Macaca fascicularis: one gene and its partner. The protein of the gene in region 2 purifies or fractionates together with the protein of the main gene of each other region. This does not show direct contact. Links are inferred from orthologs where the notes say so. Each region holds a gene or a part of one and is shown on either strand. Other genes may lie near its edges.

Region 1 (3,500 bases), on a different chromosome or scaffold from region 2:
TCCTCTTCTTGGTCAGGTATTCTTACCACAGCTTGAGGCGTGACCGTGCAGGAACCAGATGGAGAATAGGAGAAGCCCGCGTGGGGCGCTCTCGCCCCGTACTTGCCCACGGGCATGTGTGCACAGTGCTCAGTGCCCAGTACAGTACATGCTAGAACCCCCGAAAATCAACTCCAGGGCCACCCTAGGAGCATGTGACCCAGACTATCAAAGTCACATCAGCAAATATGTATCTCATCATGTGCCCAGTCCCAGTGCTGGGTGGTGGCAGGAGTGTCAGAGCTATGATGTGACAGGGTGTGGACAGATGCTAACCTTTTTATTGTAAGATCGAAATCACACTGGATGAAAAGATAAGGTGAACTACATAGTCATTTAAGTTCTGTGTACTTTAGGCAAATGTGGATATTAAATACAAGGTTACATATTGCTCATGTTAATATGAATAATCCCTGCTTGATTCCTTTCTGTGTTTACTGAGGCATGTTCAACTGCACTAAATAATAGTGATTTTTTAAAAACTTTCTAAACAGTACAATTTTGTGGGAGTGGTACTCAAAGAGAACAAGAATATAAAATCACTCTTAACTATTATGTTATAGCTGATAATTTTTTCTAGGAAAAGGACTGGTTTGAGTAATGTCTTGTGTTACTAATGACCACACTGAAGTTGTGGAACTTAAATCTGCTGTATTCTAACATTGTCATCTTTTTTTTAAAACAGCTGTTGTTGGCCTGCTGTACCCCTGTATCGACAGTCACCTCGGAGAACCCCACAAATTTAAGAGAGAGTGGGCCAGTGTCATGCGCTGCATAGCAGTTTTTGTTGGCATTAACCATGCCAGTGCTGTATCCTGAATTTTCTGTGCTATGTCCAGAGTATCTTCTTAGGTTATATATTGAAGCGTTTTGTTTTGTTATATATTCAAATGACTCCATGTCGTAATACAAACATGATGGTGGTACCTGCCCATTTCAAATTACTAAAAAGAGAAAGAAGAATGGGGCTGTCGATGACTTCATAGTAAAATATATTGTTTTATGGTCAAAATGCTAGCGGCATTTTATATATAGCTTTCAGCAAGTTTATTCTTATGGTTAAGTTTTTGAGTCAATGATGCCAGGGAGATTTCAGGTGATCTTGGTGATTACTGTAGCCTGTATCCAACAAATCCTTTCTTTAGCTCATTACACAGTTTTTATGGACAGTGAATTATTTGTATAAAATACCCATGTTTTTGACCCTTGTGGTTTTCTTTGTGTTTTTGATCTTATTAAGAATCAGCAGACTTTTCCTTAACTTTTACATCACCAGAAATTGGATTTTGCCAATAACGTCCAACTGTCCTTGACTTTAGCAGCCCTGTCTTTGGGGCTTTGGTGGACATTTGATCGTTCCAGAAGCGGCCTTGGGTTGGGGATCACCATAGCTTTTCTAGCTACGCTGATCACGCAGTTTCTCGTGTATAATGGTGTCTATCAGTAAGTATGTGTTTTCAAATATTGGCTTTGGAAAGCTTGCTTAACTTTCATTAAAACATCCACAAAGCTTAGATAGTTTCATATTTTATTTGGTTTTTATATAGAATGATCTAGATTTAGGTACAAAATTCTAAAAAACGCTGCTATCCATAACTTAATGCAAAGGAAAACCAAGTAGTAGCAGTTACAACCAAACATTCAAATATGAACGTTTTGTAGCATTTCGTGGTTGATATGCATTCTGCATATCCCCACTACAGAGAATGTTTGATGCAGAATTGAGCCAGGTGAAACTGGCTGCTAAGGCACGGTTTCTTTTCTTGCTCCAGGTATACATCCCCAGATTTCCTCTATATTCGTTCTTGGCTCCCTTGTATATTTTTCTCAGGAGGCGTCACAGTGGGGAACATAGGACGACAGTTAGCTATGGTGAGTGAAATGATCATATTATATTATCTTCTAAAACTTGCGTCTCTTTACCTTGATAGAATTACTTTACATGATACATTCAATTTTGTGTTTATATGTTCCGGTTCAGACTTGAGTGACAATTACTGAGAAAAGGTTGTATTTTAAAAAATAGGTAATGATACCCAGGTAATTCTTTGCTAAATTATAAAGATTTGTAGATTCATAAATTCATAATATTTGATTTAGAAAGGAACTAGAGCCCTCCCACTGCCCCTTTGAATTGCAGATGTGGTCGGTGTTCTGAATTCTTGAAATTTGTGTAGTAAGCAGTAAAGAAAGTGACTGGTGTGTGAGTGTCCCCTCCTCCTTCGCCGTCAGAAGCAGATCTGGATGACCTCGTGCAGTGACACTTTGCTCCCTGAGCATCAGTCCGCCGGTGTTGCTTTTCACAAAATCAGAGTGGATGCAGATGATGCTGGCCTCTTAGTCCACAGTCAAGCAAATCGAGCCTGAGGCTCCAGAGTCTGTCTTGGGCCAGGGCAGGGCCTGGTGTGGGCGGGTAAGGGGACAGCCTGGTTCAGACAGGCAACACCCTTCTGTGGGGCAGGTGGCCCTGGGCATGGAGGAGTGGTGATGAGAGCACCACTGCACGTGGCCGGGTCACCGTGTAGATGGACTGTCCTGCCTGAACATTGCACCTGTTCTTACTGCAGGAGAAAGCAGCTCTACCCCACAGAGCTTCTCTCACAGCCCCCCTGAGGGAGATGGAAAGGTAGATGAACTCCAGGATGGCTTTAGCAGTTCTTAATTAGTTAAAAATTGGCATCTTAGCACTTTAATTTAAAAAACTAGAGGTGAACTTTTAAATGTTATTTTGAGTTGACTTTGACTGGCAGGCTGAAATAAAGTGAATTAAAAAAAACCTAGAGCTGTTCCTCTCGGAGATAAGCTCTGGGACTTTCTCGGAAGACTTATCTGGGCACCTCATGCTATTTTTAAAACAGTACATTTATTTTTGCCAGCTGATACCTCTGTGAGGAGTTGAATTTGAAGGCCACTTGGCTGTTTCACAAAAACAGAAGTAATTACAAGTAGAATTTGCAGTGTTCCACTGGTTACTGAGTCTGTGCTGCCAAATTTCTCATGATGGAGAAGAAAGGACTTTGCTTGCCTTTTTTTTTTTTATTTTATTTTATTTTTTTTTTATTTTTTTTTTGAAGACAGAGCTCACTGTGTCACCCAGGCTGGAGTACAGTGGTACCATCATAGCTCACTATAACCTTGAACTCCTGGGCTCAAGCAGTCCTCCCGCTTCAGCCTCCTGAGTAGCTGGGATTACAGGCACATGAAACCTTGCCTGGCTAACTTTTTTATTTTTTGTGGAGATGTTATCTCCCTGTGTTGTCCAGACCAGGCTCGAACTCGTGGGCTCAAGCGATCCTCCCACCTTAGCCTCCCAAAGCACTGGGATTTTAGGCGTGAGCCTGGCCTTGTTTTTTTTTTAATATTAAAAATCTGGTCGAATGGTCCCACATGAAAATACTACATTGTTTTCGTGCATTCGCCATCATTCCTGTTATAGTCTTCAAACGAGAGCTAGGCAACTC
Region 2 (4,296 bases):
AAAAATACAAAAATTAGCCAGGCATGGTGGCAGGTGCCTGTAATCCCAGCTACTTGGTAGGCTGAGGCAGAGAATTGCTTGAACCCAGGAGGCGAAGGTTGCAGCGAGCTGATATCTTGCCACTGCACTCTAGCCTGGGCAACAGAGCCAGGCTGAGTCTCAGAAAAAAAAAAAAAAGAAGATGAAGTCTGTTTTACTTTGTCATATCTGTTGGGCTTGTGGTAATCCATAAGGGCAGTTAAGTCCAGTAATGTGGTTATCAACTACCTGCACTAATGCTGGAGTCCACTGACATGACCAACCAAAAGAATAATTTGAAGTACTTTATAAGTAATTGAAATATATGTTTTGGCAATAGAGTTACCTTTCTAATCAAGTTATATGTAAATGATAAAGTTAAAAGCCTTTTTGGGGAACATGTAAGCAGATCATGGGGAGAAAGAATTAAAGGAGAGAGGAATTCCAGAGTTTTAGAACTTGCTGTTATCAATCCAGAAATAAGCATCACAACAGCACATATAAGAAGAGTTCACAAAGACATAAAGCAAAAAACTTGGTCATGGAGATTATTAAAAAGAAAGCAACCCGACTTATAAGTGCTTCTTTGCTTTATATTATGCAAAGAATTAAAAAAAACCAATAAAACAAACAGTGACATAATGGGCTCCTAAATTTATTGTAGGAACCACTATCCTAAGGCTTGCTTTGACTGACATAAGTCAACCTGCAGGCTCTTTCATTTTTCGTGAAATGTTAATATTATTTTAATTTAGTTTTAGAGACAGGGTTTTGCTCTGTCACCCAGGCTGGAGTGCAGTGGTGTGATCACTGCAGCCTCAAACTCCTGGGCTCAAGTGATCCTCCCACTTCAGCCTCTCCAATAACTGGGATTACAGGCACATGCCACCATGCTCAGCTAATTTTTTACTTTTTGTAGAGATGGGCTCTCACTATGTTGCTCAGGCTGGTCTCAATCTCCTGGGCTCAGGTGATCCTCTCACCTTAGTCTCCTGAGTAACTAGGACTACGTGTGCGTGACACAGAGTCGGCTAATTAATTTTTTTATTTTTATTTTTTAGAGATAGGGTCTCACATATTACCCAGGCTGGCTGAAATGTTAATTTCAAAAGAGTATCCTAAATTAGCAGAGTAGGCTACCTTCTCAAGTTGCCATCAAGAACTGGGACTCAGCTGGCTTTTGTAAAGGTAACCTAGCAGTGTAGAGCTAAGACTGCCAGAGGGATGTAGGAGAAAACAGTATTTTAGGGATGATCTGTGAGGAGCACCAGTTTCCTTTAGATTTTGCCTCTAAATCTATATAAACATTTATTAATCACCACCCATGGCATCATCTTGGACTACTAAGCGAAGTTCTAAATTTACATATATGTGTGTGTGTGTATTCTCTTTTCCATGGTTACTGACATAAAAAGCTCAATCTGAAAAGACTCCCCTGTTCAAGGAAATATAAACAGAGATGTTCAGCAGTATCTGCTAGGAAAGCAGTGACCAGGAAAGGGAGCTATTTAACAGAAGTTGCCGACTTTGCCCTGTCTCTGTCTTACCTGTAATATACCCCAATATGTCCCTCTTCTATCTTGTGCACAGCTGAGAAGAGAGATGCACACAAGAAACTGGAAGCCACAGCCACAACTGCTCCCAACTGAGCCATCAGTGAGCCTTTATCCTAGGGAAAAGACACGGGAAAATGTGTGTGGTCCAACGTGCAGGAGAAAAGGCCGCAACAGCCAGAGGACCTCACCAAGCTGAGCTCCCTGCGAGTGACTCATATTCAGCCTGGTGTCGTGTGAACACAAGGCTAGATCTACAACTCGCTTCCTCCTCGTTCTCAGTCAACGTTCCCCTTTCCTCAACTGTGAAATCAGGGCCCCCACCGCACTGAGGAAGCACTGGCTCCGGATACAGCCGTTGCTCAAGGGAGAACCCGTGCCAGCTGGGTAGGGTTCAGAACACAGCCTCATCTTCCTGTGAACACGAATGTGCTGTCACTGAATCTTTCATACTAGTAGTAGGGAAGAGAGGCAGCTGCAGTACTTTGGCCCAAATTACAGAGGATGCCAAATGACAGGCAGTTGTGGCTATGTAATTCTGGTCAGAGCCTCCCACTCCTAATTGCCTGCAGTTTCAAGGGAAACCATTATTTACTCCTTTCAGATGCTGGAGTGGCAGAGCCAGCAGGCGAGCCGAGTTTCAAGGTAGGATTCGCTGGCCTCGCATCCACCTTCCCAGTTATTCCTTTGGCCCTAAACAGGACAGGGCTCTGAACAAGCCTGAAGCCACACTCCCCCCGATATACTTTGGCACTTTGCACCTGACAGATCCCCAAGCCCGTGGTCAGAGACAAAGGCAATGTCCAAAACTGCGAGCCTCTGGGCTCCTGGGTCCAACCGCGTTCAGGCACCAGGACGCGGAGGAGTTGGATCCTGAACACTGAATGATCTGGAACTATGGTGACTGACTGCAAAGTTCAGCTGTGCGTGCGTGGGCCCGTGAACGCAGGGCGTGGATTCTGCCTCCCAGGTCTAACGTAACCCGGGCGCGGACATCTGCGAGGCGCTTATTTTACCGTGGCGGCCTCCGGCTACCGATCTGCAGTTGCGTCCTTTCCTGCCAGTGCCCTTCCCTCCCCGAAGTCACTCGCGCCCCTTCCCCGCCCCGTTCCGAGAGAGGGTCAAGCGCCCTGGGCTGGGACTGCGGCTCCAATAGCCTCCGCTCCGTCCCCCTGCGGCTCTCAAGGAAGGGACGCGACAGAAAAGGGTTTCTGTGTCTCTCCAGGAGCGGGCCGGCGGAGGGAGAGAAGCTGCTGGGACTGAGGCTCCCGAGGGTGATGGGTCAGCCCCGAACCGGAGCTGCAGCTAGGCCCAGCGCGCGCACGAAGGGGCGGGGGCCGCGTACCAGGCTGTCCCTGCAGGCGCTCCGTACTCGTCCGAGCCCACGAGCAAGAAAACCGTCACACCCCTCAGCACGCGACTTCCTTCTGGGCCGTCGCTTCGATGACGCCATCAGTTCACGCGAGAAGACCACACCCCCGCCCCGCGCTCGCTCTGCGCCCCGCCCCTCGCGCTTCCAGCGGTCAATGGCCGCAGCTGGCCGCCAGGGATCGCCCGCGGCTTGGTCCGTGCGGTCCTGTACCTCTGTTTCGGGTGTCCGGCCTGGGGCTGGGGATGAGGGCGGTGTAGGTGGGAGCGCCCCGAGAGCGAGCGGCAGGACGCGCGTGACCCGGAGTACTGAGACCCAGGGCGTCCTTTTCCAAGGCGTTGACTTTGGGGATTGCTTCTGATTTCCCTCTGCATTAGGCCGAACCTGGTTCGTTTTGGTTTTTTTTAGAGACAGGGTCTCGCTCTTTTGCCCAGGCTGGAGTGCAGTGGCACGATCATGGCTCACTACAGCCTCGAACTCCTGGACTCAAGCGATCCTCCCATCTCAGCCTCCTGAGTAGCTGGGACAACAGGTGTGCGCCAGGACACTTGACAATTTTATTTTTAGTAAAGACAGGGTCTCGGTATGTCTGGTCTCAAACTCTGGCTTCAAGCAATCCTCCTGCCTCGGCCTCCCAAACTGCTGAGATTACAGGTGTGAGCCACCATGCGCTGCCTTTTTTTTTTTCCCGCCTTGATAAACTACTAGCGAGTTGTAACTGTTTTCCTATAGCACAGCTGAAATGAAACAATCTTTTCAGTGTACAGATTAGCATCATTACCTCACTAATCAAAAATCCCTACCTTGAGTTCTTTATATTTTTCTGGGAGCTTTGGCCATTGCGACCCTGCAACACCACAAAGTATATTAACAAGGAATTATTCTAATTTTAATGAACGGAATCTAAGAAGTTCAGCGAGGTTCAAGGGTAAAAGCCAAGGAAAGCTTCCTTTGTGTTTCCTTAATATCTTGAGTTCATTGCTTTTTTAACTCCTGCCACAGTGCACAGCGGCTTGTGCACTTCGTCTTTCTAGATAAACTGTATGTTCCCGGGAGAGCAGAGACTGACTTTCCTTCCGCACCCCCGGGCCTTAGGTGCCCAGTAAATACAGACTGAAGGCAAACGTGGGACCAGGCCTGGAATCCAGACTTTGTGTCTCCTAGGCTAAGGGCCTCACGTTTTCCTCAACCTGCCCTACTCACCAACATCACATTGGGGCATTTCTAATTCAGCCACTGAAGTTATTAGTTATTTTGTTTGCAGAAAAGAAAGAGTCCACTTAATTATAGCCTTCAGTAAAAGAAAAACTTTTACACCGGGAAGATGGCAAGCCGGTGGTGTTAGACAGATTTAAG

The links. The genes of interacting proteins can lie anywhere in the genome.
Region 1: the proteins of ERLIN2 (region 2) and INSIG1 purify together in Homo sapiens (affinity purification with western blotting; 4 studies listed by BioGRID and IntAct, with this or other methods). This does not show direct contact. The link is inferred for Macaca fascicularis from reciprocal best matches to the Homo sapiens genes ERLIN2 and INSIG1.

What each region holds. Positions count from the first base shown.
Region 1 is NC_088377.1:196,596,942-196,600,441, forward strand, and holds part of INSIG1 (insulin-induced gene 1 protein), read left to right. Parts: intron 1-724; coding exon 725-849; intron 850-1,315; coding exon 1,316-1,482; intron 1,483-1,811; coding exon 1,812-1,911; intron 1,912-3,500. UniProt on the Homo sapiens protein: Oxysterol-binding protein that mediates feedback control of cholesterol synthesis by controlling both endoplasmic reticulum to Golgi transport of SCAP and degradation of HMGCR.
Region 2 is NC_088382.1:41,109,821-41,114,116, reverse strand, and holds the start of ERLIN2 (erlin-2), read right to left. Parts: upstream 2,797-4,296; 5' UTR 2,333-2,796; exon of another isoform or gene 2,217-2,332; coding exon of another isoform or gene 2,176-2,216; exon of another isoform or gene 2,021-2,175; intron 1,688-2,020; 5' UTR 1,673-1,687; coding exon 1,566-1,672; intron 1-1,565. Other genes in the region: uncharacterized protein, read left to right, coding at 2,176-2,216, 2,797-3,301. UniProt on the Homo sapiens protein: Component of the ERLIN1/ERLIN2 complex which mediates the endoplasmic reticulum-associated degradation (ERAD) of inositol 1,4,5-trisphosphate receptors (IP3Rs) such as ITPR1.